3 linked regions of the Rhinolophus ferrumequinum genome follow. The protein of the gene in region 3 interacts with the protein of the main gene of each other region in a pairwise test. Links are inferred from orthologs where the notes say so. Each region holds a gene or a part of one and is shown on either strand. Other genes may lie near its edges. The genes, in order: MYOD1, MYF5 and ID1.

Evidence for each region.
Region 1: the proteins of ID1 (region 3) and MYOD1 interact in a two-hybrid assay, tested with the Homo sapiens proteins (5 studies listed by BioGRID). The link is inferred for Rhinolophus ferrumequinum from reciprocal best matches to the Homo sapiens genes ID1 and MYOD1.
Region 2: the proteins of ID1 (region 3) and MYF5 interact in binary tests that used the Homo sapiens proteins (3 or more experiments, as listed by UniProt). The link is inferred for Rhinolophus ferrumequinum from reciprocal best matches to the Homo sapiens genes ID1 and MYF5.

Annotation. Positions count from the first base shown.
Region 1 is NC_046294.1:36,064,258-36,074,959, forward strand, and holds MYOD1 (myoblast determination protein 1), read right to left. Parts: upstream 4,987-10,702; 5' UTR 4,835-4,986; coding exon 4,205-4,834; intron 3,736-4,204; coding exon 3,657-3,735; intron 3,368-3,656; coding exon 3,117-3,367; 3' UTR 2,431-3,116; downstream 1-2,430. UniProt on the Homo sapiens protein: Acts as a transcriptional activator that promotes transcription of muscle-specific target genes and plays a role in muscle differentiation. Together with MYF5 and MYOG, co-occupies muscle-specific gene promoter core region during myogenesis.
Region 2 is NC_046293.1:74,208,961-74,219,049, forward strand, and holds MYF5 (myogenic factor 5), read left to right. Parts: upstream 1-6,151; 5' UTR 6,152-6,194; coding exon 6,195-6,695; intron 6,696-7,530; coding exon 7,531-7,606; intron 7,607-8,001; coding exon 8,002-8,192; 3' UTR 8,193-8,242; downstream 8,243-10,089.
Region 3 is NC_046306.1:22,840,273-22,849,532, forward strand, and holds ID1 (DNA-binding protein inhibitor ID-1), read right to left. Parts: upstream 2,634-9,260; 5' UTR 2,399-2,633; coding exon 1,976-2,398; intron 1,742-1,975; coding exon 1,700-1,741; 3' UTR 1,600-1,699; downstream 1-1,599. UniProt on the Homo sapiens protein: Transcriptional regulator (lacking a basic DNA binding domain) which negatively regulates the basic helix-loop-helix (bHLH) transcription factors by forming heterodimers and inhibiting their DNA binding and transcriptional activity.

The sequences.
Region 1 (10,702 bases), on a different chromosome or scaffold from region 3:
TGAAGGCCATCCTGCTCTCTGCTTGCCCAGGCACGAACCCTGGTGCAGAGCAGTGTCCTCCAAGAAGGGACACCTTTTTCTAATTGTACACTGTCTCCTTATAGGCTACTGGGATCCTCTTCGTATATGTGATTGGTTCCCTCCGTGCAGAAACTCTGCCTCTTCCTCTCTTCACCGGGTTACCTTCTCATACCCCATTATCATGTCTCATCGCACCCTGTACTTTGCCTTAGAGTACTCTCCGCATTTACAACATTGCATTTGTTCCCTTGGGTCTTTGTCTGATGGCTATTTCCCTAATGGATTTTAAGCTGTCTGAGGGTAGGGACTGTGCCTTCAAGGTTCTCCACTGTACCATCAACACCTACACTTTATCTGGCACAACTGTCTCCACACCTATGCTTTCTCTCCCATCCCCAGTCACTGCCCCAGGTCAGGCCATGTTATATCTCCTCTGAGCAACCCTGGTGGCCTCCTGACAAGTCGGCCATCCTCCCACTCTGTCAGCCCAGACTGGCCTTTCTAAAATATACATTTATTTGTATCCTTCCCCTGTTCAGATTCCTCTCTGTTTCCCTGTTGCCTTCAGGATAAAGCACAAATGAGGCCCTGTGCCTGCTTTCCCCCCATCTCCCTTCTGGCCCCTCCCTGTGAAATTTTTGGTTTCATGAAGGCACAATTTGCTTTCTGTCGCCTCTGGGTCTTTGCACTTGCTGTTTCTTTAGCTTGGAGCACTCTTCTTTGGCTCCTCTTTCCTGACCAACTCCTTCAAGATTCTTATTAGGGGTTACCTGTTTGTCCATACCTTCTGTTCCTACTATGTTCCTCTGCCACATACACCCCCATTATAGCACTTAATTCATTGTGATGTCGCCAGCTGCTAAAAGATCCAACCTCCCCACATATCTGGGTGCTTCCCAAAGACAGGAATTGCGTCTACTGGTGTCTGTTTTCACCCAGCATAAGACCTGGCATCTGTTGAATGAATGAATTCATGAATGAGCCCCAAGGAATCTCAACGGACTATAAAGAACCCCAAAGTGCATAAGGATCCCCAAGGTGCATCTGTGGAAGAAGCCAGAAGAAAAGCCGAGGATCATTAGTAACAGAGCAGCTCTGGCAGCTCCTCGGGGACCCTGTGTCGGGAAGAGTAAGGCTCTCCTTACAGCAGACAGCAGATCCCCAGATAAGTAATGAGGCCCTTCCTTCTGGCATCACATCTTGCCTTCCTCAGGGCCCCCCACTTGAGCAGAGCCCTGGAAAGTGGGCTTGCAAGGTTTTCAGGAAAAAAAGGGTAAAGGTGGGATGTGGGGAGGTCCTGGTGGCAAGCGTATGTGTTTTGGGGGTGGAGGTGGTGTGCTCTGAGAGTGGGGAAGAACTTTTGCCAGGCCATCCCTCCAGGGGACGACAAGGGCCTCTGGGAGGGCAGAGTGCGTGTGTGTGTGTGTGTGTGTGTGTGTCTCATAAGACACAGCTCAAGTGGCACCTCTTCCAGGAAGACTTCGCAGCACCCTGGCTAAATCAATGGCCCCTCCTCTGCTCTCAGAGTGTTTATATCTTGATGAGAGCATGTATGCGGCCTGTGATGATAACAGGTTTACATGTGCCCCTCTTCTTGCAGGCTCTGGGCTCCTGTTTCTGTGAGATATAGCAGTGCCCAAAAGCTGTAAGTGCTGGGTTACTGGCTAAGTAGAAGCGCCTGTCCCTGTCTGGCCTTCAAAGTTTTCCCCTTGTGGTTACGCCTGTCACTAAGAGCCTGTAAGTACCACACAGCTTACCGCCTCTTCACACTCACTCATACCGTGTTCCCCCGAAAATAAGACCTAACCGGAAAATAAGCCCTAGCATGATTTTTCAGGATGACATCCCCTGAACATAATGCATCTTTTGGAGCAAGAATTAATATAAGAGCCGGTCTTATTTTCGGGGAAACACGTAATGCTCCGAGCACCCTATCGCATCCTCTGTAGCCATGAGGATTCTGAGTGGCACCTGGGGCCATTACTTCCCAGTGATCCTTCTGGACACCACACCTGGGTTCACTCTGTGTATGGAGGCGTGTGATTCTCAACCTTGCATTTTGAAAAATGGGGAGCTTTTGAAAAATACCAACTCTGAGGTTCTGGGGCAGATACCTTAAAGCACAACCTTTGGTGGCGAGGAGACCAGGCATGGGTCTTTTTGAAAACTATTCAGATCATTCTAATCTGCACCCTGACAGGAGAACCACTGACCTGCGTGTGGTGCTGCTCCTCACCGTCTTAGAAACCTCCCCACGTATGGGAGGCACATCGCTTCTTTCTCCTGACCTCAGGCTTCCTCCTTGCAATCCACCTGCCGCCTACAGGGCTAGTTGCGGTACTCCTTTGTGGATTTTCCGTCCCCTCAAAATCCTGCCCCCATCCCTAGGGAAAGCCGGAGCCACCTCGGTATAAATTAGCGTTTTTATTTCCAACACCTGAGCGAGCGCCCGCGGCTCGCCCGCTGCAGTATAAACATACAAAGTGCCTGTCGCACCGCACACCATGCCTCAGAGATAAATACAGCCCTACGGGCTCCTGCTCTGTCAAAGCAACTCTTATTTACAGGAATAGATTACAAAAGTATTACAAAAAAGTGGTCCTGAACAGGGGGAGGGGTGAGAGTGGTTACCGTTACACTTGTTACACTTGGGACCTGAGCGCACCCCGCTGGCTGTGGGAAAGAGCGCGTGTCTTCGGGGCTAGCAAAAGGAGAGGCCACGCCCCCATAAGCGACCTCGGCGTCAAGGGACTGGGGTCGGCGCGGTTCCCACCCCCATGGGGGAAAGTGTCGAGGAAGAGAAAGGGCCTGGCCCCTCCAGAGTCATCTGTGGCCCACCGAGGAACACATAACGGCCATCGCAGCGGGTCTCAGAGAAGGGTGCTGCGTGGAAAAAACGGGCTGTGTCCTTGCCCTGGGGTGCGGGAGGCAGGAGACACATCAGTTCTCCTGCCTATCCTCCCTTGGGAAGGGTCGCTTTAAAAGCGCAGTTGGGGGGGGCATTTAAGCTCAATCTTTTGGGTGCGAGGGACCCTAGGGGCACCATCCCTCGGGCAGGTGGACAGCGACGTCCTCCGACGCGGCCGCCCACACCCTCAGAGCACCTGGTAGATCCGGTTGGGGTTGGCGCCCGCGGGGCACTGAGGAGCGGCGTCGGGGGTAGGGGTGGGGGCGCTGCGATCGCCCTCGCTCGGGGCGGCGGCCTCGTGTGGGCCGGGAGACAACGCCGGCGGCGCGTCGGCCAGCAGAAGCGCGGGCGCAGTGGGGCTGTCGGTGGAGATGCGCTCCACGATGCTGGACAGGCAGTCAAGGCTCGATACCGCAGCGTTCTTCCCGGGCCTGGGTTCTGCGCGGGGAAGGGTAGGTTAGTATGTAGGTGTTGAGCCGCGGACAAGTCTCCAACTTCTGGGCCCAGTCCTTTGCGGCAGACGGGAAACTGAGGACCTGCCATTGTCTGGGGCTATCCAGAGAGAGTGGGGAGCGAAAAGAGAGGGAGCTACATGCTTAGTATTTCCTTCCTTGTGCCATCTGCCATGATGTGTGTGTGGAGGGAGGAGGAGGGATGGGGCAGGGATCCTAGATAAAGGGAAGCTAGGGCAGGTCAAAGAGTAACGTGAGGAGGCGCGAATACGCACCGCTGGGCGCCTCGCTGTAGTAGGTGCCGTCGTAGCAGTTCCGCCGCCGGACACCGCTTGGGGGGCCGCTGTAGTCCATCTGCAAACGGCAAGGGCGACCGACTCAGGCCCGTGGGACCAGGCGAGCCTGGAACATCACTCTCTTTGGCCGCCCCTCCACAACTTCCCAAATCTCACCCTCGAATTTCCTGCCCTGATAGGGGTGGGGGTAAGGGTGGGCAGGAGCTGTCTGCAGTATGCAGGGCCAAATAGAGGGCAGACTGTCACCTAGGGCTACAAATCTTAATTTTGATAATAAGGACAAGTGTAGAAAAAGCAGACCACGGCGCAGAGGTGTTCTAACAGTGCTCCCCATCGAGTGGATTGCATCTGTACGATGTGTTCCCAAAACACTAGGCCACCCCAGTGGCAGCTGCCCGGGACAAGGGGTCCACTCCTGTCCAAACCTCTCCCTGGAGGGTCAGTTAGCTCCCCGCCCTCGGAATGGCTTCCCAGATACTCCCGAGAGCTGTCCCCACTTCTCTTCTAGCCCGGGGTTCCAGCCTTACCATGCCGTCGGAGCAGTTGGAGCGCGGGCTGGACGCGTCCGAGTCGCCGCTGTAGTGCTCACCGCCGCGGCCGGGGGGCAACGGGCCGGGCGCGTAGAAGGCGGCAGCGGCGCCAGGGGGCGCGGCGTCCTGGTCGCGCAGCAGCTCCTGCAGGCCTTCGATATAACGGATTGCGTTGCGCAGGATCTCCACCTTGGGCAGACGCTGGTTAGGATTGCTAGACGTGCAGCGCTTGAGCGTCTCGAAGGCTTCGTTGACTTTGCTCAGGCGGCGCCGCTCGCGCATGGTGGCGGCCTTGCGGCGGTCAGCGTTGGTGGTCTTGCGCTTGCATGCCTTGCAGGCCCACAGTAGACAGCGACCCGCCTGGTGGTGCCCGCTGGGCGCGCGCACATGCTCGTCCTCGCGCGCGCCGGGGGCCGGGTGCACGGCCGCGGGGAAATGCGATGGCTCCTCGGGCTTTAGGAGCGCGCCCACGTGCACGAGGCGCGGGTCCAGGTCCTCGAAGAAGCGCAGGTCCGGGGAGTCGAAACACGGGTCATCGTAGAAGTCGTCCGTTGTGGCAAAGTTGCAAAGAGAGCCGTCGGGGCCAGTCAAGTCTACGTCGCGGAGTGGCGGCGACAGGAGCTCCATATCCCGGCGGGGAGCAGCGCAGTCCTGGCTTCGCCCAACCCCGGAGGCAGGGATTGCCCGAAACTTTCTTCGGGTCTCCTGCAGCGCGATAGCGAAATGCTGGGGGTCTGACCGTCCAGTACCCTGCCCCGTCCTGTCCCGCCTGATGGACTCCGCGGAAAGTAGCGGCAGCTCCCTGGGGCTTCTCCACCCCTATTTTCACGCCAGGCGCCGGGGGCGGGAGCGGGCGGCTGGGGGCGGGGGCGCCCGAGGCCAATAGGAACGGGACGGGGCGGAGCTTGGGATCCCCAGGGTGGCCGCAGGGGCTAGAGACTGGCCAGGCCCCGATCCCTAGACGCGCGCGCGCGCGCGTGGTCCGGCTCCTCCCTAGGCAGGAAAGGAGGCAGAGGCTGGCAGCCCAATGCTGCTACACTTGGCTCCCGGGCACACTCTTCCCAACCCTCTCCAGCACAGGACTCCTCCTATCTCTGCGGAAAACGCTGGCCGCGCGGGCTCTCACTTCCCAGCTGACTTTGGGCCCCTCTGTCCTCTGATTTGCGGGGGACCCAAAGCAGAGTAGGAGTAGAAATCAGACCTGGAGAAAGACACATAGCAATGGGGTAGAGACACACGTAGAGCTGAGATAGTGAGAGAGATATATGCAAGAGGCTGAGACATTTAGCGAGCAGAAAGCTGGGGAGTCAGAGGCGGAGAAACGCGCAATGAGAGATAGACCCGAGAGTCAAGTAGGCAAAACTGAGATAAAGTGGACGTGGTGACCATGCCATTAGGCCAGTTCCTGCTCATTTTCCCTGGACGCTTAGAAATCCAGTCTCATTTATACAGGAGTCCAGGATCACTACTAAAGCTTCATGCCAATCTTTCCAAGCTCAACTCCTGCCCCGGCCTGGAGGGAGGGAGGGAAGTGGACGCCTGCCCGAGTCAAACTGTGCATTTTGGCAGCCAGGTGTCCAGTGCTGCTCTCAGAGATGCCTCTTCGGCTGGGAAGAAAACGCCATCTCCTTGGGGCTTGCCTCCGCCTCGCAGTGCTGCATCAGGAAAGTTCATCGCGCAAAGGCTTGGAAAGCCCAGACTCCAGAGTGGAATCTTTGAGGGTGGAGTTTACAGACCAATGACCTAAGTTCGAGTCCAGACCCCCAGTTTCATGCGTGATTTTGTGCAAGTCACTCGCCTTCCGATCCTGTTTACCCATTGAGGACAACAACAGCAATCTCTTAGAGTGATTGTGGTGGTCGGTGGTGAGATTCTGGAGACCAAAGATGTGGAAGCCTTCAGTCTGAGATGTAAGGCTATACTAGCAAGAGGGATTGCTTCTGTTGCTGGCACCGGTTGGCTGGTGTGCTCTCTGTGGGCTTCCCAGCTGTTAGCTGGGGCACAGAGCCCTGCCAGGGGCCCATGTAATCTTAGGGCTCAGCTCCCAGAGGCCGCAGCTGCATTTCTTCCCAGCAGGCCCACTGCAGAGACTGGGGATAGGAGGAGGCAACCACTCCATGGCATCTCTGGCTTCCTCACAAGCCTGAGGTCCCCCTACCCCCATAGGTCTGCTCTGCAGTTCACACCTTCCTCTCTGCACTCTGGCTAGAGGTCTCCCTTGAACCAGATACACCTACTGAGGTCTCTCTTCCTAGAGCCAAGAGATAAAAGCAAGAGTGATCTTTGTGCCTCTCCCACTAACTTCTGGGATCTGTCCTAACTGACCCTTGGGTGCTGGGAAGTCCTCCCTTCCCATCAAACCTCGAGGGCTCTCTTGGAGCCCTGCCTTCTTAACTTCTCTGCCACTTGTGGTAGTGCTGAAGGTCTTCTTCGTGAAGTGCTCAAGTCCCTTCATTCCATAAAACCACCTTCATTTATTCATTTAACACATTATGGAACATCCATTATGTGCCAGGTACCTGTCTAGGTGTTGGAGACAGAGCAATGAACAAAACCAAGACCCTGCTTTCATGGTGCTTTCATTTTAGGGTAGGGTGACAAACAATAAACGAATGAGCAAGGAAGTATATAATGTCAGGAGGTTATAAGTTCTACAAAGAAAAAGAAAACAAGGCAAAGGAACAAAGTGATGAAAGTTATTTCTCTGGGCTGATTATATTTGGGCAGAAACCTGAATGAAAGGAGGGCAGAAGCAGATATCTGGAGCCAGATAGAGGGAAGAGCATGTGCCAAGGTCCTGGGCAAGACTGTTTGGCAGACTTAAAGTGCAGCAAGGAAGCTGGTATGACTAGAGCAGGGTGAGCAAGTGGGAGAGTGGTGGGGGATGGGTCAGACAGAAAGCAAAGGAATTGTATTCTGAGATGGAAAGCCACTGGAGGGCTTCAGGAGAAGAGAAGAATGTCACCATCGGACTTAATTTTAATAGGAGGATACTGGTTATGGAGAGCAAGGGCAGAAGCAGGGAGACCGATTAGGAGACTATTGCAATAACCCAAGTGAGTGGTGATGGTGGCTTAGATCTGGCTGTCAGCAGTAGAGATGGTGAAAGTATTTGAATTCCAGATATATTTTGAATAGGGAGCCAGCAAAATGTATTCGTAATTGGATGTGGGCAGTGAGACAAAGAGGAGTTAGGGTTGACTTCTGAAAGAATGAAGTTGGGGAAGAGTAAGTCTGCCAAGAGTCCAAATTTGGGCAAAATTTGAAATAAGTATTCAATATCCAAGTGGTGATGACAGGTAGGCAGGGGGATTTCTGAGGCTGGCATTCCAGAAGGGAGATCTGGTCATGTGGAAGACCTGTCCATTTGACCTCTAAGACATCTCTCAAGTCTGTCCATCCCCAGTGTGACCACCTTGGATTAAGCTGCCACACTGCTGGCTTGGGTGACCCCAGTAGGGGATGCTCTCCTCGTTTCCACTCTTGCCCCTGTATAATCCATTCACTACACAGCAGCCTGAGTCATCCTTTAAAAGCATAAATGGGATTATATCCCTCTTGTGCTTCAAACTCCCCAACAGCTTCTCATTGCATTTAGAATAAAATCTCACCTCTTCACCCTGGCCTGTGAGGCGCTGCACGACCTGCCTTCAGCCCATCTCTGCAATTTCACCTGGAACCACTGTTCTCTTTGGTCACCCCATTCTAGCATGACCTCCCTTCCTGTCTTCCAACACTTGGAGCCTTGTGCTCGCTGATTATCGCAGTCTCTTCCAGGCTCTTCCCAACATCGGCTGCTTTTTATATATCACGTCTCAGCTCAAACGTGACCTCCTTGGGATGTCTCTAAGACATCCTCTCTAGGACAGCTGCATCACATCACCCTGCTCAGGTCTTTCTTAGCACAGCCGCTCTTTAGTTATCTTCTTTATTCGTTTGCTCATTGATTGACATAGTCCCATCAAGGCAGGGATGTTTGATTCACCATGGCCTTTTCAGAAACCATCACAGTGGCTATCACACTGTAGGAACTTGATAAATGTTGAATGAATGAATGCGTGGCCTCATGCCCTTTGAATTTCTATGCATATATTTGAACTTCTTGAAACATGTCTTTAAGGTGGATGGTTGTATTCCTTCTAAACTGGATAGTCGCATACATGATTAGACATACATGCTCAGTCATACTTGCTTTTTCCAGGCAAGACTCAGGCCCACGGGGCTGGGACATGCTCCTTTAGGTTGAGCGATTATACATGGCCTGCTTTAATATTGTCTTTTTTCATTTGACTTACACTCACAATGAGGAACATAAATAATGTGACATTGGTGATTTAGATTGAACCAAGTATTTATCAAGCCTCAGCAGAATGCCTGGCACATAGTAGGCACTCAATAAATACTTGTTGGATGAATGAATGAATCAATCAAACCGTTTAATTGAAGAGTACCCTGAGATTCCAAGTGAACTCTTCAAACCACTTATCCGTACGAATCTAGACTTCTCAGACCTGAGCAAGCAAAGAAAACATAGAAATAATTTGGATACCGAGACTGAAATGATTACAACCTTGCTTTTCGTGTTTTGCATTCATAAAAATCACCTCAGCGCCATCATCAAGGTGACTCTACAGTAAATAAATGTTATATGTTCGAGCTTACTGAACGCATTTAATATTTTATCGCTAGTGGCTTAGAAATCTAAAATGCTTTGACAGTTTTACACTTGATTTGTAGTTTCATCTTCAGTAATTAGGAAGCACTGTTATGAAACCACACACATGCTAGTGGTGCATGCCACTTTTATATTAGATTTCCAAGTGGGATTTTGTTTGCTACGCAGTTTCTGATGCTTAAACAGGGTGGCACTCACTGGACTCAGCGACCGTGACAGACCCCTCCAGGCCTGGGACCCGTGCCTGCTCAGGGTCACTCTCCTGGTTGTACCACCACCTCTTTGGGGGAGAGGTTTGCCTACACCACCATCCCATTGCTGTTGCTGAAAGAGCAGGGAGAAGTGCATCCGCCCTGAGAGCTGGCCCCTTTTAGTCCTAGTGTTGGGGGCAGGGAGGGAAAGGACGTCCAGTTTGGAAGCTGAAAGAGTCTAAACCCTTATATTGCAGAGTTTAGTCAAGGGTGTCTCTCGGGAAAACAGGTGCTGGACTTGTTCTGGAAGAGCCTGGTGGCAATGGGCGAAAGGACCTACGGAGGGGGCGTCCTCCAGCACCTGTCGGTCCAACTCAGGCTGATCAGAATGGTGGACTGTGTGATGTGGGCAAATGCACACCTCACCCAGGTCCTTGGTTTTCCAGTCTTCACAATGAGGAGTAACTTTGGCAGCAGGTGGGGAGGCAGGGCTCCCTGGACTCTTCTCCCTTCACCCTTTCCAGTCCTTCTTCCTCAGCTCCCTTGGCCAGCTTGCCTGGGGCTATAAATGGAGAGCCAGCCTCTGGGCAGGAATGCAGAGCGTTCCTGGCTGGGCCCCACAGAGTTGCACCCTCAGGGAGCGGCCGGCCCCAGGGCTCCCGGCCGCCTTTATATATACATATATATATACATATATATATATAGCCTCTGGAAACTCAATCCAGCCTGCACCTGCCCCAGTCTTCAAGCACCCTGCCCCTGCCCAGGCTGGATCTGTGGCCTCTCCCCCTGGGCTGGCAGAGGCTGCATATCTGGCTGGGGTTGTGGGGTGGGGTGGGGTGGGGAGGTGCCAAGGGCCAGAGGGTGAAAACATGAGTGAGCAGGTGGACAGGGCCAGCCCCAGATCTCCTCTCTGTCCCCAGGCTTTCCCTTCTTGTCCCTAGATCCACCCTGGGTACCCCTTTCTGTCCCCTGCCAACTTTTCTCCCCGGAAAGCCTGAAACTGCCTGGTACTAGATATGAATCCTGCCCTGGGACCAGTCTGAGGTGGTCAGAGAGTATAGAATTGGTCCAGATTCAGGGCCAGGGGCCGAGAGATTTTTACAGATGGCCACACTTCTCACTTTGGAGTACTCCCCAGCCTCCCGCATACAAGCAGGGCTTGGGAGTTTAGCAGAGGAGTTGGAGAAAAGGGGTCCATGTGGAGGGGGAAGGGCATGGTGACAACAAATGGCAAGGGTATTTCCTTCCTGCCCGGTGTGCAGGGAGTGGCTGTGTGGGGCAGTGCGTGTACTGTGGGCACTCGGTGATTCATTCACTCACTCAACAAATACTTACGCTGCCCATGTTCTGTGTCAGGAGCTGGGAATAAAGCAGGAACAAAACAAAATTCCCTGCCCTCGTGGAGCTGACATTCTAATAGGCAACACCGACAGCAAACAACAAGCATATTGATAAGTAAATTCTGGAGTATGGCAGAAGGTGAGACGTGCTGCAGAAAAACATTAAAAGCAGAGCAGGGTGAGCGGGATTGGGGTGTCCGGCGCAGACTAGCTGCAGAATTAAATCAAGTGACATTTGAACAAAGAGGTAAAAGGAGTTTGGGAGCAAGCCATACGCCCATCTGTA
Region 2 (10,089 bases), on a different chromosome or scaffold from region 3:
AAAAGCAGGTGGAGCCTTGGTGGGTGCTGATTCCCCAGACTGAATCCAGGTTGCCACTGGGAAGCCTTGGGCTGTAACTGTTCCCTCCCTTCCTCCATTTCCTCATTTATAAAATAGTGGGGACGACAATCATGGTGCTTAACCCCCGGGGTTGTCAAGATTCACTGAGATAACCCATATAAAGTGTTTAGCCAAAACAGCGTGCAACATAAACAATGTCGGTTTTTGTTTTTTTTTTCATTAGTGAATCTAAATTGACCATCAAGACGCTTTCTTCCACCATAACCCACAGTTTCTTCAGATTCGGTTTTCCAGCCTTTACAGGCTCTGGTTGGGAAAGTGTTTAATAACAATGAGACCAGCAGCGACATTAATGAGCCACTTGTAGCATTTTACATATTAACTCATATAGTACAACAAGTGAAAGACGTACAATGGTTATTTCTATTTTAGAGAAAAAGGATGCTTTGGAACAGAGAGGTTCTTGCATTTGTGAGTATAGAGTCAGAACTTGGAGCCAGTCAATTTCAAAGGCTTCCAGCCTGTTTTCTCCATCACCATGCACCCCCAAAAATAACCTTTGGGAGATAAGAAGGAACATCCATTCTCTGTAGAATAATTTGGCTCTTTTTGACAGTTGCTTTTCAAAAGCTCTTCCTCAAGAGCGATTAGCTAGTAATTTAACTACAAAATAAGTGAGAAAGCATTTCAAGTTATCCAACCAGAACATGTGTGAATATATCTGGGTGGTGTGTATAACCATTACTCATGCTTATTATTAGGTATCTATGTTTTTCCTGAAAATCAATATTTTCCCTAAAATGTATGTATATTCACATACCTATATTTTAAAAAAATCAGATTTATACCACGGCTGAAGTCAAATACCATATAATTGACCAAGTGAACTCCTTTACTTTATGATTGCACATATATTTAAAATAAGATCTGTGTTATAACCTGCTCAGCAGCAGAATGCTTTTATCAATTCATGGACTTTACTTGCTGATAGATTTGATTCAGTCTTTGCAAACTAAATCCTCTCTATCTCTCCTAGCTGGGTAACTTGAGAAATTGTTTGGAATAAGTTTGCCTATAGAAGTCTCTTCATTAAATAGAGCAAATATTTCCCAAAGACTTCATGTGACCTCCACTGCTGTAGCTGACATGTTAGGCTTTCCAATGAAATCCTTGGTGTGTTTGCAATTAAAATGTTTTTATTGGATATTAATGATGTTAATCTTTACTAAGGCCAAAGCCAAAGCCACACACACACACACACACACAAGAAAAACACAAAAGAATAAAACAACCCAAAAACAAACAGAAAAAAAACAAAAAACAGGGCCATGGAAGCAGAAAATCAAGATGTAATAACTTGGTAAAAATAAGCAATTTGGGATTTAAACTGAGCCTCTTCCCAGAGGCAAGCATAAAGATATCCCATATAAAATAATGAATGATTTTTTGTTTTTTAATATTACTATAGATACAGTTTGTGAAACGTGAAGTGAAATGTCAGTTTTCTCAAACTAACTTGAATCATCATACCTGGATCATTGAATTCCAAGCCTGAACATAGTGGAAATCCAACTTATGTCTAATACAATCTTTTCTTCCTTTTTTTGCCCCCAGGCTCTATCACATGTTTGGGGGGTTGGGGGGTGAGAATGTGGTGCTGAAATTCAGTGTTTCTAATTGTTCTTGAGGTGGCCAGAAAAGTCTTGGGTTGCTTAACCTGACCTTTATCCTTATTAAGATATTTTTGACTTAAAATTAGAATGTATCTGTTTGTGGGTTCCTCTTAGTAATATTTTATCCCATGTTTTAATCTCAAAATCCTCCTCCCAGAACACCATATATGGGAAAATAGTTTTTAAATGTTTTAGTTTAAACTTTGAATATCTCATTACCTAACTTGGTGCAATAGTAAATTAGCAATAGCATGGTATTTCCTCAAAGAACCAAGCCATCAACACATTTCTCCAACAGACCCCTCCAGTCACTCCCTTAAACTCAAAAGCAGTGTTACAAAAGATGATCCTTGGTCTTAGAGGTTTCATTCTGAAAAGCAATTTTGCAAGCCTAGTTCAGAGTCAGCCTATGAGATGGAATGGCTATGCCATGTGCTGGAACAAAGATAATGCTGCAAGAACTGGCTCCTTTCTCTACTCTCAAGGCTGCTAAAAGTCCTTATTTAGGCCTTTGATCTCTCCTGGGAGTCTTCGAATTCAAGCAGAAGCCAATGTCTTCCTCAGCTGTCTTCTCCACAAATTCTTCCAGCAGCTTTGGCAGGTACTAATGTGTTTACTTAGGTGTGCCTGGTTCCCAGAGCTAATAACAGTTTGATATTGTGTAGCACATTGAAGTCATATATAAGCAAAAATCTCCAGAACAACTCCCTTTGTCCCAGAGTTGTTAAGGGTCTCAGGCAGAGGCAGAAATGAATTGAAATAGGCTAGTCTTTCTGTGACATTTGCTTCTCCCACTAAGAGAAGCATGGAGAATTTTCAATAATCCAGAATTCCTAGGGAGGGCAAAATTTACTAGGAAAGGAAGCTCTGAGTATCATTTTGCTGGTGCGGTCTGTCCATCAACACTAGGATTGTTGCCACAATGCTTAAACTAAAATAGTTTCCCTTAAAAAGAAAAGTTGATGATTACTTAAAAGTCTAAGCAATTAAAACCTGCTTATAAGTCTAAATTGAAAGAACATCAAACCTGTATTTATTTTTCTTCAGAATGTGAAATGAAAAAAAAAAAAATTGACTATCTACTTCTCCAGAACCTTGGTGGGCATTTGTTTATAACACCCTATGTGGCTTAGTTTTCTTCCCCTCTGTTCCTGTCTACCTGCTCCTAGGCTTTCCTAGCAGTCAGTGTCGGACTCATCATTTCTTACAACTGTTTACATGTTAAAATACATGTGGTTTTCTCTGCATATGAGAAGTCCTCTTCTCTGGAGAAATAGTAGAAAACAGATTGTATTTTAAGTCTTTTGTATGAGGAACAAAAGCCAAAGCTAGTCTGATTTTGAGTAAAAGAGGGCAACCAAATAACCAACAGAACTTTTTAAAGTGAAAATACTTCCCTGTTCAATTTCCCCCCTCAGACAACAAACAAACAAACAAACAAAACTTTTTTTTTTTCTCTGTATCGCTCACGCAATTTCCCATTTTTCTCTCACAAGGTTTCCCCTGGGAAAAGCAGCGGAACCTCTCCTGAATTGGGGGACCCCAGGCATCTTTGAGGAGCCGGGCTCCCCTCCTTCTTTGTACACTGCCTCCCACTTTTTAATCTTTCTCCTCTCACCCCTAACAGCGGTTTAAAGGTTTTGTCTCGTTTTTTGATTTTGGTGCTCTGAGATCCTATTTTCAGCACTTGAGTCCCAAGGGTCGTCAACCCCGGACCCTGTTTCCCCGCTAGCAAGTCCCATTAAGCCGCTGGACGCTTGTGTTTTCTTGGCTTCTTTAGCTCCAATCGCCGCGGCACTCTGGTAAATTTGTTTTGAGATCACCTTACCAAAGACAGCCCTAACATCTGAGAACGACCGTTACTGACAGAGCCTCCTGAGTGACAGCGACTTCCCAGGACTGAGAGCGGAGGGGAAGACGTCAGGGACCCAGCTTTTCCAGTTTCTGCTCTGCACCGCTAAGCACTCGCACTGAGCCTGAACCTGTAGAAGAAGAAAACAAACAAAATTTACCTCTAGGACTACAAGCTAGACAAGGGAATGACTAGTTTCCTAATCCTGTGTGGCCTGGACAAATTACCACCTACCCCTGGAGCTTGGGTTCCCTTCTTTTAAAAATGATTCTATTAATAGTCCCCATAGAGTCGTTGGAAGGAGTAAATGAGTGAATACATGGGAATGGTTGAGAACAGTGCGTGGCAAATAGAAAAGTCTTAATAATTGTTTGCTACAAATATGCCACACTGAAGAATTGGTACAAAGCATATTAGGTGTGTGGTGGCAAGAAATCAGCTGAAAGGGTTGCAAAAGTGAAACCTCTACCTTCCACCTAAACTTTAAGGAGCAACTTCATTTGTGCCCAGATCATAAATCTGCACATAATTCTGTTTAGCTGTAGCCAGTGTGCTAAGATCTGAACTCCATAGCCAAAGAAAGTGGTAGTGCTGCTGCTGGCCAGAAGTTGTGGGACGTGGCTGAGAATTCCTGGATGAGATGGCCCCACTATTGTATTTCAGAGGCAGCAATGTGCAGGAATTCCAGTGTTTCCACCCGTGGATGCAGCCTTCCATTCGGCCTGGGTCCTTTAGGAACTTGACTCTTTTATCTGGTGTAGCCCTGGGTGTTGTATTCATTTCAAAGGCATTCACCTGTTAATAGTCCTAAATAAGGTGCAGATGGATTTCCCACTGGCCAGACAATTAAGCAGCCCGTTGGTGTGAAAGGGAGCCTGATTTTTCCAAGCATGATGGTCGTGGTGTCTTTGCCTTAGGGATGACACAACATGGGAGAGGGGACTGCAACTCTGTAGCAAACCTTAGTGACTGTCACTCTCCTAGCCCTGGTTTTCAGGACCTTCACTTTGGGGAGAGGATCTCACCCTGAAAAAGTTAACATTTATCTGGCCCCTGCGGACGTGAAATCAGCCAGCCAGTGTTGTTTTAGGAAAATAATTTTACAGAAAAGTGGTAGAAAGGAAAGTGCCCCTCTCCCACAAAGAACTTTGGAGCCACATACTTACTGTACTGGATGACCGCAGATCGAGATGTGAACATTCCCTCATGTTTTAATGGGTCCAAACCCCCAGACTAAGTCTATTTGTGTAAACCTTAAGTAATTGTTTTTCCTAGAGATAAACTGCACCCCCCACCCCCAGTGATCAGGAAGTAGGTGAAGGCCAGAGGACGATTGGCAAAAGCTTATTAATAGATTCATTCTTATTTAAATGACAGCTCTCCCCTCTCGTCTTTTACCCACAAAAGTTTCAAAGACCCTGCTACGATTGCTTTTCTGGAAGGCTTTTGTCGCGGGAGTGTGTGAAGTTACTCAGGGTTTGAGGAGTTGGAAATTTTACACGAGCCGAGAAGGATTGCTGTGCCGGCAGCTGGGATGCATCTGTAACGGTGCGAGTTTGCCCGAAAGCAGAAAATCAGCGACCCCAAAGCCCAGCTTGGCTGTTTAGTCTGTTGAAATGATAGGGCGGAGCAGATAGAGAGCGAGAAAGGAGACGCGCCCCTGGAAGGGGAGTTCGCGGTGTAAAACTGGGTTTCTTCTAATACAGATCCTAGAGACGCCGCGATGTGTATCTTCCGCCAGCCCAGGGTCTAGCAAAGGCCTGGTGCAAAGGAGAAGGCGCTCAATAAACGTGTGCAGAAGGTGAAAAGGAAGGAAGGACGTTCCCTGTCACCTGAACCCTGATTGAGCCCACCTCCTTTTAGAGGAGCAGACAGGGAGAGAGAACTCAGAGCAGTGAGCACCCCACCTACTCCCAATAACATAGAGCTTATAAAATGACAGTCTGATCTGAACAAAATACATATTTAAAAAAAAAAATCTAGATTTCACTCCATGATTGAAAGTGTCACTTCAAGTTTTTAGCAACCGTTATTCCGGTCCACTGACAAAAAAAGAAGCCTGAGATCACTAAAGTCTGTGAAAAAGATAAACAAACACCTAAAACTAAAGTCATTTACCCATATCTCTAAATGGGAAGGCAGGTAGACTTTTGGTGTCAGCTGAGAGTAGGGAGTTTTATCTATTGTTTTTCAATGTGTGAATAATTGCAAAAAGTTGGACTTCCTTCCTTTTGTCTGTGACACTCTAAGTGAATCTAGAAAGTGCAAGTGAGCAGGTTGGGGAGCCATGCCCCTCCCCCGCAGAAATGCAGTAAAACCATTAGTGTCAAAAAGAGCAGTAAACAGCAAATTGTCTCTAGAGGAAAGACGGAGGTTTGCCCAGGCAGTCCCAGCGCGGGTGGCGGTGGGATATGCTAATAGTGTCTGGCCACTGGGGCCGGCCTCCCTCCCCCAAGAATATATAAAGAGCCCTAACCCCAGCACGGCAGACCCAGGCCGCCAGGCGTCTGCCCTTGTTAATTACCGGAGAAACCAACCAGGGAGCTTCGCCCGCCCGAGGTTGGCTGTCCAGCAGCCGCTCCGGGCTCAAGTTTCTCCCTCATCTCTCTCACTGCTGTCCAGGTGCCCCGCCGGCCTCACCATAGAGGATGGACATGATGGATAGCTGCCAGTTCTCGCCTTCTGAGTATTTCTATGACGGCTCCTGTATCCCGTCCCCCGAGGGCGAATTCGGGGATGAGTTTGAGCCACGAGTGGCTGCCTTCGGGGCGCACAAAGCAGAGCTGCAAGGCTCAGACGAGGATGAGCACGTGCGGGCACCTACAGGCCACCACCAGGCTGGCCACTGCCTCATGTGGGCCTGCAAAGCATGCAAGAGAAAGTCCACTACCATGGATAGGCGGAAGGCGGCCACCATGCGTGAGCGCAGACGCCTGAAGAAGGTCAACCAGGCTTTCGAGACGCTCAAGAGGTGCACCACGAGCAACCCCAACCAGAGGTTGCCCAAGGTGGAGATCCTCAGGAATGCCATCCGCTACATCGAGAGCCTGCAGGAGCTGCTGAGGGAGCAGGTGGAGAACTACTACAGCCTGCCGGGACAGAGCTGCTCGGAGCCCACCAGCCCCACCTCCAACTGCTCGGATGGCATGGTAAGAGATAGCTCTGGTACCTACTTCGTCACTCCAATCTCTGCCAAAAATCCATACATCTCATTTAAACCAGGTGTGGCAAGCAAATACTCAAAGGTTATTTGGTGGATAGTTGAGGGTGGGCAGACAGTTGCTGTAAGGGAAGAGAGGTGCCACATTTCAAAAGATGCTGGGAAACATAGCTGTTGAACAGCATTTTAGTTTGACTTCCTATCAGGTTCTACATGTACGTTGTAGAAGAGAGGTGTCATGTGAGATAAGTGGCTGTGAATGATCAATCACATGTTTTCTTCATTGCTCAGTTTATTTCCAAAATATACGATCAGTGGAGCCTTCCATTCACTAACATCTAGAGGCAACTCTGAAATTCCCACTGCCCTACAGTTTATAACTTAATGAAAGAAATACCCTCGTGGCTCCAGTCCCTGTTTTGCTGAGGCCTGGCTGGATGGAGATGGTGATGCATTCATTACAGAGAGCGTTTGCTCCAACGCTGCCAGGTTTTAATGTGTTTTTGCCCTGGGAAAGTGTTCTCTCCCTGAATTAGTGTGGCTTCCTTCTACTCCAATCCATTTTGCATGGTTAACCCACTGCACATTGCTGCTAAATTCCACCCCCCTTTTCCCTTTGCTGCTGCACTCCTCTTCCCCAAGCACAGAGATTGACCTCAGTGCCCTTGCAACTTGGTGAGGGCTAACTCTTCCTACATCAAGGCAATGAAGGTGATTGACAGGGGTCAGTTTACGGAGCTAGTGGGCAAGCACTGCCTCTCTCTAGGTCAGAGAATCTTTTGCCAAGACTTAAAAACAAACTTCTTTTTTGTCTTGTACTGTAGCCTGAATGTAACAGCCCTGTCTGGTCCAGAAAGAGCAGCAGTTTTGACAGCATCTACTGTCCTGATATATCAAATGGTAAGAACCGATGACTTCAGAAGAGTTGAAAGACCAGTTCAACTTCACAATTCAGCCTGTTAAAGCAGAGCCTGCCCTTCCTGGCAGTACCGGGGAAGGGAATAGAAGTGATGGTTCTTATGGGGAGATCATGGCAGAGCAAACTACACACAAAATGCACCTAATGAATACATATATATGTGCACGTTCTCTTGGTATATTACTAGAGGGCTTTTCTGCATCCTACATTCACCCCATTAATTGCTAGATATTTGTTGAAGATTTTTGCATCAGGCTTTCTGTGACCACCTGACCTCTTGGTGTCAAAGGTGCTGACCTACAGTTTAAGGGGCAACATAAGCAAGTCTGTATATTTGGTGATTTTTTTTTAATGGTTTTTCTCTTTGTATCCTTAGTATATGCCACAGATAAAAGCTCCTTATCCAGCCTTGATTGCTTATCCAGCATAGTGGATCGGATCACCAACTCAGAGCAACCTGGATTGCCTCTCCAGGACTCCGCTTCTCTCTCCCCAGTTGCCAACACTGATTCACAGCCCGCAACTCCAGGGGCCTCTAGTTCCAGGCTCATCTATCATGTGCTATGAACTAAACATCTAGTCTCAATCAATTCTGCCAGGAGGACCTATTACACAGGAGGAAGGAGGCCCAAGGAGTCCAAAAGCAAGACAACCTGTACATAGATTTCCTTTCAGTTGTAAATTTGTACATACTACCTTGCCACTTTATAAGAAAGTGTATTTAACTAAAAACTTAACCATTGCAATTAATACTTTATTTCTTTTCTCTTCCTCTCCTTTTCTCTCCTCCCTCCTTCTTTTCCTTCTTCTTTGCTTTAGATACATAGTTCTAATATTATTTCTGATAGGGGGCAATTCATTGAAGGTAGCTGGTTACAATGCTTAACTTATACTTTTTGTTTTTTTATAAATATCACTTATCAAAATATTATCTCTGGTGTTTAGATCTTTATTTTTTTCTTCAAAACATTAGAACAGCTGGAAACCAGTTACAGGAAACTTTAAATATATTTAACTTTTGTTTTTCTCTTTAACCCTTTGATTATATTGAATTAAATAAAACTATAATAATACTGCCTAATGGTATATATATTGATCTTTTCTTATAAGAAATACATCTTTTTAATGTAAGCACAAAAATAGTACTTTGTGGATAATTTCAAGATATAAGACATTTTGGAAATTCCACCATAAATAAAATTGTTTAAATGGAGAAATATTTTGGTTCATGATTTTTTGAAAGAATACCTCTAATGGAATTAGTAGTCATTGACATGAAATCTTTAAGATAGGGCTAAAAATAACAAAACAAAACAAAAGTTGGCTTTGAGGATAAATCTGAATATTTACCATCTCATGGACTCAGTTTAGGTCCTGTTGATGTCACAAATGAAAATACCATATTTCCAGTTTAATCATATTTCCAGGGAGCCTGCTAAATAAAAATTTTCCTTTATCTTAGTACTGTACCATATAATGTCAAGTTGTATGTGTGTGGAGGACCGGAGGTAGAAGTTATTCAGGCAACAGCATGTTTAAGAAGAATATATACCATTACATCATTTACTACCTACAGTGCATTAGAAATCATGAGTTAGGTCATATTTACCTGCCTGAAAATATCTTGATTTATTAATATATTAATATTGTCAATAAAATATTTAAAGGTATTGAGCTGATTGAGCTGATTTTGTTGTTGTTGTTAAAGTGTCAGAATAAGAAAACTTACACAAACTATAGTAAAGTGAAGCAGAGTGCAATAGTTTCTATTCACAGCCTTTTTGCTTTTACTAATCATATTTTATGTGTACTCGTATGTGTGTATGTGTGTGTGTGTGTATATTTGTGTGCGTGAAAGATATGTACCTTTTACTGTTCATCACTTTAAATCTCCTTCAGAAAGATTTGAGATGAAAAAAATAAAACAATTAAGTGGAAAATTAGTTTGAGACAGTCATTGGGATAATTCTCACAAGTTTACCATTGAGAGAGATAAAAAGGCAATAGCCTTGAAGCATCTAAAGTAACTGAGCACAGAGAGCAATAAAAATAATTGTTTCATCTTCTAATTTGTACATTAGTTTAAAATTGCTAAGGATTTGTAGTTATATATATTAATCAACCGAAGTATCGGACTCTGGTACAGCTTTGCAATCATACTATTCTCAGGAAGGTTTTCCTTTCTTTCTGATGTGATTTTTCTTGTGCTTGTCCAGTCATCAGGCTTAAAAGAATGGAAATTATTTCATAAAAGGCGGGAGAGAAAAGGTGCTGAGTTTAAAAACTAATGTAATCACTGTCTGTTAACCTCAGGCTCTGACATGGGATACTGACTAATAGCACATACTAAGTCCTTTATCCCATGATTTGGGAGTGTGAGGATTTGAGGCATAGAGAATTCAAGAGGGCATGATAGAGATTTACATATACTTTCAACATAAATTTGAGTTACTTGTTTTTTTAG
Region 3 (9,260 bases):
TAAGTTCTTATCCTCTCTGGGACAAGTGCTTTGCCCTTTCGGGGACTTTGGTTTTTCCCTGTGTAATACATGGGATTCGACCTGGCCGGGAAACTTGAGGGTTGGTGTCCTGAGGGCTAACAATTCCCAGGAAAGGAGGCACTTGAACTTTCAAGGAAGGGTTTGCCTGGATACAACTGCCCCCACCGCCACCCCTGACCAGCCAAGACCCAGGAATGCCAGCCAATCTACAGAACAATTACACACTTAGGAGCCCAGTGTGGTTCTGCAGCCCCTAGACAAGCAAACCCATCCATCACGCCAAATCCATGCAGAGATGCCCACAATGCATTTAGGCACAACACACAAGCCCAAACAACTGGAGGTTGTACTTATCTGCAGAACACATGCTCACATTTGCCCTCTGACTACACCCCCATGCCTGTACACCAGAGGACCCAGCCCGACAGGGGAGGGGAGGGGGGGAACAGCAGTTCATGTCCCACACACAGGCCCACTCATATGCACTCCCCCATGAGTACAAACTCATGCACGTGTCCAGGCAGATAGGCCCTTACCGATGACACCCTTTTCCTGCTCAGGAGCAGGGGACTGACCTGCCCACTCCTCAGAACCCACACAGGAGCCCTGGGGGAGAGAGAGGAGGTTTCTATGAGCTTCTGGCATAGCCAGGCCAGGGTGAGGGGGCTGAGTCCGAACCCAGAGCAGGTGGCCCTGCAGCTGTGCCCAGGCTAGTCCTGCCAAGTTGCTCACCCACTTGGACAAGCCTGGAGCTCCAGGGCAGACTGCTGGAACCCAGGGTTAGGCTGCCCATTGGGGGAGGCACCTCCTACTGGGGAATGGGGCAATGAAGTCCTGTCTTAGATAAGCTGAGGCTCTGGGCAAGTCCCTTTCCTCTGGATCTCACTTCCCCCATCTTGGCAAAGGTGCAGGTGGTCCAGTGACCTGGTTCTCCAACTTAAATGGCTTGTTGAATACTCCAACCCAGAGGGGATCTTGGCAGGTTGATCTGCATTTTAACAACCTCCCCAGGTGACCCAGATGGCCCAATGACCACTTTGAGAAACCCCAAAGGATTTAATTTTATGACACTAGGGAGCAGGAAAATAGCCATGGATAGGGGATAAGAATAGACTTTAAAGACACCGGAAACACTCACTTCAGGCCGGTAAAAGTGACAGTCCAGATGTGGCCTTCCAGTCCTCCTCCCCCAAGCACCAGCTGCAAAAAGGGTCAGGGGTCATCCCCCCAGCCCAGGCCCCTCCCCTCAATCCAAGAACACTGCAACGTGACCACCATCTAAAGTATTTGTTTAATAACAACAGAAAAAAAACCCACAGAACTATTGTAAAACAATATTCTCAGTCGGTGATCATTGTAATATACAATACAAAGCAATTAATTTCCTCAGAAATCTGAGAAGCACCAAATGTGACCATTTTTTAAAATGTCTGCTTTTCAAAAAATAGAAACACACGGGGGGAACTCCCCCCAAGTCTCTGGTGGCTGATAGGTGTGGAGGGAGGGTCGGCCTGCCCTCGTCAGTCCCCCAGCTCTGGGCTGGCTCTAGCAAGCGCCCAATGGCCGCCGATCTCGGTTTTGTTTCTCCCCAGCTGCAATGAAGCGCTTGGGAGGACCAGAGAGCACTAATTCCTCCGCCCCGAAGGGCTGGGGTCCGCCGATGCCGGAGGACCGCGCTTCAGCGACACAAGATGCGATCGTCCGCTGGAACACATGCCGCCTGTGAAAGGAAGAGAGAATAGGTGAGACGGGAGGTTTGGAGGAGACAAGGCTGCAAGCGCCCCCTTCCCCAGAAGACACGAGGGAGCGCTTTTATCGATCTCCCTGGGCACCCTTACATAGCCCGGTGCCCGAAGGTTTGGGGTGGACGTAGGGCCAAGACCCCCTCCTCTGTGAACCTCAGTTTCCCCATCTGTAGAAGGAAAATGATATCGTGCTCCATTTCGGACCTCACCTCGGCCGCCAGGGCGCTGATCTCGCCGTTGAGGGTGCTGAGAGGAGCTCGGGCGGGGAGCCCCCGGCCCCCTGGGGCCCCGACTTGAGATTCCGAGTTCAGCTCCAACTCCAGGTCCCAGATATAGTCGATGACGTGCTGGAGGATCTCCACCCTGCTCACCTTGCGGTTCTGGGGCAGGGTGGGCACCAGCTCTTTGAGGCGTGAGTAGCAGCCGTTCATGTCGTAGAGCAGCACGTTGACCTGCTGCTCATCGAGCAGGGCGGGCAGGCGCGCCCCGGGGCCGCCGGCGCAGCGAGAGATGGCCACGCTCTGCTCGGACAGACAGCGCACTACCTCGCCAGCGCCGCCGGGCGTCTTGCCGGCTTTTAGTGCGCAGCTGGGACCCGCGGCTGCCGCGCCGCTGCCACTGGCAACCTTCATGATTATGGCGTTGGTGTAGGAGAGGAGACGAAACGGAGAAAGCGAGGGAAGGACCCGCGGGAAGGGCTTTTAACGCTGTAGAGTCGGTTGTAGAATGCGCGAGCGAAGCCCCACAGCCCACTATTTATAAAGGCTCTGCGGCTCCACCCCGAGGGGCGGGCTCAGGCGTTCAAAAGCATCCAATGGGAGATGTAGAGGCGTGGCCTCGAGAGCTTCTGGGCCCCGCCTCCTGCTCTGATAGCGCACCCTGGAGGGCGTGGAAAAGGGACCAGAGTCTCAGGAACCAAAAGAGTGGGAGGGTACAGGGCAGGGTGGCTAGTGGAGGCGAGGGCTGTCTTGGACTCCTCCGGGAGGAGGCAAAACTGATATTGCCGATAACGAAAAAACTTCAAGAATCAGTTTTCCTGGGGTCATTTTCTCGCTTCTCCAGCCCGGATGAGAGACATTGAGGCCCTGATGGAGAAGGGACTAGCTCTGAGTCGCCCAGAGAGCTCACTACTAGAGCCCCGGCTTTTGGACCCTATTGGAAAATGACCTCTGGGACCACGATCTCGCGAATATTTGGGCCGAAATTTAAAACGGGATCTCCTTTACACTCCATTCCCCGGGGCTGTTCTCTTTTTCCCAATTCCCAGAGAATGTTGCTGGTTAATGTTCCTGGGGGACTTACCCAGGCCCTTTCGGTGGGAGCAATTAGCCTCGGAAAGTCTTCCTCTAGGATTGGGGGCTGAGCTTCTGGGACTTGAACCAGATAGAAGGCTCCCAGAGTGGGGATGCATCTCCTAATTCTACCCTGAATTTGCAGCCCCTGCAAAAAAAAATCCCCAAAGCTGCATGAACTAGTGATTTAAAATATTTTCTCCCTTTTTTGGCTGTTCCTCCCGCCCACCCCACCCCACCCCCACGCCCCAAAGACCTCGGAGCAGGGTCTCCCTCCCACGGCGCGGCAGCTGCGGAGCTCGAGGCTCTTCCCCCGCCCCCCTCGCTTCCCGGGCTGGTCTGTGTCAGCGTCTGAACAAGCGGCTCAGACCGTTAGACGCCAGGCCCGTGACGTCACCCATTCATAAAACCGGGACGGGCTGTCAGGCTGGCGCCGCGCGGGCGGTCGCCATGGAGACGGCAAACGGGACTCTGCGCTCCCCCAGCCCCAAGCCAGTCACCTGTGGACCTCGTGCGAGAGGCCTGGGAATGCGCTCCTAGAGGGCGCGGTCGCCGGACAAGGGTAACCTTACCTCCCCGCCCCACACCTGGAATCTCCCCACCAGGCCCACAGCTTGGGCCGCTTGGGAGGTTTCTCCCCACCTTCAACTCCCCCTCCATCCAGCCTGGGGAAAAACGCCCGAGTTCCGATTCCAACTTTACTGCTAGGTGAATTTAGTTGAGTCTCAGGCCCCTGAGTCCTAACATCTGCCAAGTATTTCGATAATAATCACACAGGTGACAATTTATTGCGTTCTTACTTCGTGGCAGGCAGGCATTGTGTGAAGAGTTTGCCTTTATCATCTTCTGTAATCCTTGCCACAACTCAAGAGAGGAGCTGTTTGGTTTCTTTATACAATGGAGGAAACTGAGACTCAAAAAGCCTCCCAGGAGCCACAGCTGTTGTAATGGCTGCATTATTATAAAAGCGCACTTCATTGTAAAGCAATCCTTTCCTGCCAGGGCAGGCAGTCTGCTTCCAGAACCCTAGATTGGCCAGAGGCAGGGAAACTGAGGCTTAGAATAGCTACTCAAGGACACACAGTGTTAGCAGGGCTAAAATTCTAATCCCAGACAGGGGAGGGTGATATTATGGACTTTCCTCCCCTTAGCAGTTAATTCACTGGGTATCATCAGGTTTCCTTTTCCTACAGAAGTTTGGAGGAAAGGACAATAAATCGGCCACGGACCTCCACATGAGGAAACCAGGAAAACTGACCAGGGAGACCGGTTTCAAAGGAGAGAGACATCATCAATTAATTAGCTGGTCTCCCCATCATGCAAGATCTCCAAACTCCCTAGGCTTGTTTAGCAATCCTCTAATAATTGAAGAGAACATGTTTCTGTGCAGAAGAATTGCTAAAGAATTGGAAGGACAATGACCAAACAGATGAACTTAGAATATTAATCCATTATCTAGTGTTTATTACTTGAACCTGCAATGCTACTTGCTGGAATCAACTTCAGAGACACCTACACACAGGGGGCACAAAGGTGTCTGCTCAAGGATGTCCACTGAGGTGCTGTTTGCAAGAGGGGAAGTTGAAATAACCTAAATATCCATCAACAGTGGCGTTATATAAATGATGAATAGAACATCAGTGCTGTGGAGTGGCCCTACAGCAGAGGAAGGATAGCTCTTGAGAGATATCTAGGTTTTTTCTACCTTTGGTAGAGAAAGCAAGAGTTAGACTGGAGGTTAAATTAGGACCTCTTGTATGTAAAAAAGCAAACATACTCCTCCCAAGTATACATGTATCTGGAAATGAATTTAAAATGAGAGAGGAAATTATGCTGCAGAAAAAATTTCAAACACAATACTGCATGATTTCTCTTACATGAAGTTCTAGAACAGGCACAACTAATGTATGGTGAAAGAAATCAGAATGCTGGTTGCCTCTGGGAGTGGAGAATGGAAGTTGCCAGGGAAAGGGTGTGAAGGAACTTTCTGAAGTGACAGAAATGATCCATATCAAAATGAGGTGTGGATTACACAATGTATGAATTAGTCAAGGCACATTGCATTTCACTGTATTTAAATTGCACCTCAATAAAAACATTAGAAGAAAAAAGTATAAACATGAAATTACTAATGTTACCACTGTAAAAAGGAGTGAGAAGGGAAGAAGAGCAATGTGGAAAGGGAATTTCACTTTTATCTTCTCATAGGTATTTAACTTTTGTTTTGGTCTTAAACAGTATTATTAAAGTATAATTGACATACACAAACTGTGTATATTTAAAGTATACAACTTGTTAAGTTTTGATATACCCATGAACCATCACCACAATCAAGAAAATGAACATATGCTTCATCACCCCTAAAATTTTTCTTCTGCCCCTTGTAATCTCTCCCTCTCTACTTTCCCACCCAAGAAACTACTAATCTGTTTTCTCTATAGATTAGTTTGCATTTTCTAGAATTTTTATAGAAATGAAGTACAGTATATACTGTGCATATATATGTATATACATGCAGAGTATATCCATATGTAATGTATATATAGCATATACTCTTTTATTATTTTGATTTTTTTTATTAGTTTCAGGTGCACAAAACAAAGTAATACTTACATGTTTATCATTTATATCCCTCACACTGTGTCAACCCCCCTCCCCCCATCCACTACCCCTCTGACGTCGCACACAGCCATTACATTTCCACTGTCTCTATTCCTAATGCTGTACTCTGCTTCTTGTAAGTATATACATATATATATATATATATATACATATATATATATATATATATACATATATATGTATATATAAACTTGTAGTTGACATTCATTATTGTTCAGCTTCAGCTTCAGGTGTACAGTGCAGTGATCAGTATATACTCTTTTTTTTTATTGGGGTGACAATTGTTAGTAAAATTACATAGATTTCAGGTGTACAATTGTGTATTACATCATCTATAAGTATATACTCTTTATTGTAGCTTTTTCAGACTCGTTTCTTTAACTCAGCATAATTATTTTGAGATCCATCCATATTCATTCCTTTTTATTGCTGAGTAGCAGTAGCGTATGGATATAACACAATTTGTTTATCCATTTACCTGTTGATAGACATTTAGGTTACTTATAGTTTTTGGTTAGTACAAAGGAAACTGCTACAAATACTTGTATGCTAGTGTTTATATGAATCTATGCTTTCATTTCTCTTAGACAAATACTTCGTAGTGAAATGACTGGGTCACCTAGTAGGTATGTATTTAACTTTGTAAGAAACTGCTCAGCGTTTTCCCAAGGAGGTGTACCCTTTCGCATTCTCATCTGCAGTGTGGAGAATCCAGGTCCTCACATCTTCTCTAACAGTTGATGTGGTCAGACTTTCTCAATCATTCTAATAGATTTGTTGTGGTGTCTTGCTGTGGTTTTAATTTGTATTTTCTGAATGACTAAAGATGTTGAGCATTTTTTCATGTGCTTATATGCCACTCATCTTTCATGAAGTGTCATTCACTTCTTTTGCTCATTAAAAAAAATTAATTTTAGATACTTGTACATTCAAATGCAGCCATAAGAAATAATAGATCTGGGTGGTGAACACACAGTGTGATTTATGGATGATGTGATACAGAATTGCACACCTGAAATCTATGTAATTTTACTAACAATTGTCACCCCAATAAATTAAAAAAAAAAAAGAAAGAAATAATAGAGAGGGGGCGGCGGGTTAGCTCAGTTGGTCAGAGCGCGGTGCTCTTAACAACAAGGTTGCTGGTTCGATCCCCACATAGGCCACTGTGAGCTGTACCCTCTACAACTAGATTGAAACAACTACTTGACTTGGAGCTGATGGGTCCTGGAAAAACACACTTGAAATAAAGTTAAAAGTTTAAAAACATAATAATAATGATAGAGAGAAACCCCTTATATCCTTTACCCAGTTTCCCTAATGGTAGCATCTTGCACAACTACAGTACAAGGTAACAACAAGATTTCATGTGAAATTCAGATCTCACCTGATTGGCGTGCACCCATCTGTGTGTGTATTCAGTTCAATAGATGCCTGTGACCACTGTCATAGTGGAGGCACAGAAGAGCTCCATCACAAGGATCCCTCCTGCTACCCTTTTCTCTTTTGTCCATTTCTTTTAACTTGGTCGCTTGTTTTCTTGTTACTGAGTTTTAAGAGTTCTTTTTATATTTTGAAAACCAATCCTTTATCAGATACATGATTTACAAATATTTTCTCCAGTGTGTTTCTTGTCTTTTCATCCTCTTACTGGTGTCTTTCAAAGAGCAGAAGTTTTAAATATCTTTTATTTTTAAACTGCAATCACTTTTTTTTTTAACCGCAATCACTTTTTTTTTAATTTTTTTATTGTAGAATATTGGGGAACAGTGTGTTTTGGCAGGACCCATGAGCTCCAAGTTAAGTTGTTGTTTTCAGTCTAGTTGTGGAGGGTGCAGCTCACTGGCCCATGTCGGAATCGAACCAGCGACCTGGGTGTTACGAGCACTGTGCTCTAACCAACTGAGCCAACCAGCCGCCCCCAGAAGTATTAAATTTTGATGAAGTCCAATTATCAGTTTTTAATTTTATGGCTCATGCTTTTCTTGTCATATCTAAGAAATCCCTGCCTAACCCAAGATCACAAAGATTTTCTCCTATATTTTCCAGAAGTTGTAGTTTTAGGTTTTACATTTAGGTCTCTGATCCATTTCACATAGGTATTTCTTGAATATATTTTTAAACAGAAGTGTATTTGTGTGCTACTTTGTGTAATAAAAAGCCAACCTGAAATGTTTAGTATACCTCCTTCTGGCCTGCTTGTTGGCATGCGGTGGAATGTCAAAGACACTTTGCAGACAAGCAGACAAATAGGAGAGAAAGTTAAAGGATAATTAGGACCCCCAATTAACATTTGTGTACATCCACCTCCCGCCAGGTCCTATGCTAACTACATTAAGACTATATTATGAAAATTTCCTGCTAAGTAACTTAGCAACACAAAAAAAGGATGAGTTTCTGCCTTGGAGGAAATCAGAGGGGCTTCCTAGAGAAGGTGACTTCTTCTCTGGCCATTCCATGTGGGAAAGGCACAAGGGGAAATGGCCTGAATGAAGACATGTGAGGAGCATGCCTCTGAACAAACATAAAGCTTTGACACTTTGAGGAGAAACAGTTGGCTGCAGAATAGTTAAAAGGGCTGGGGCTTGGGGCCCAACAGGTCAGATTCAAATCTTTGTTATATTGTATGACCTGGAGCAAGACGCTTCACCTCTCTGGGCCTCTTCTTCCTCACTGACAAAATGAAACTCCTACCTCCTTAGGTTACCGTGAGGAATCATTGAGATTAGGGTCCCAAAGCCCCTGCCATGGTCTTGGCACATAGTAAGTGATCAGTAAACAGTAGATAGGAATAGTGTCTGTTCAGTTTCAGGCCAGGACCCATTTGGTTGCAGTTTTACTTCTGGGGGGTTTTAGTGAGCCATGTGAGACTAGCTTTCAGATTCCCTGAAACATGCCCTTCACTGCGCTCCCCTCAAACTTCCCAAGTGAAACAATGACAGCCTCTCCCCCTGTACACATGCACATCCTAGGCCTGTGGGGAAAAATTAGCTTCATTTCATTCCAGAAAATTGGTTTTTATCTCTTACATTATTAAGGCCTGTTTATCTTATTGCCAAGTGGGCATTTTGCTGGCCCTCTCTTTGGTAGTGTGAATTGAGTGAGCCTTTTATCCTCCTAGTCCTACCTACCAAGTCATCTCAGGGAAATAGGCCCCTCTTTTGGTGGCCAGGAAGCTTGGAGGACTCATTAAATGAAACTCCAGGGTTCATCCTTCTTGAGAGGCTCTTTACGCGCACCTGGCACCATCTGATTTTCACAGCTGCTCTTTGATGCTGATGACAGCTGTACTATTATAACGCACCATTTCACAGATGGGAACCCTGGGGCCCAGAGAGGAAAAGGGACCAGCCCTTGACACCTTCAAGTCTTGGCTCTACAACTGACAAGCTGTACCTCAGTTTCCTCATCTGTAAACTAGAGCTAATGCTTATTCCTCTTTGTAGAGTGATTGTGAGTGAAATAAACTATGCCAAGAGGTGACCGGAGCCCCTGGTGATGAATGGAAATGTCTTTTCATTATGTCTTTGTCACCACATCTCATTTCTACCTGCAAGATCCCTCCTCTGGCCTCTGGAGC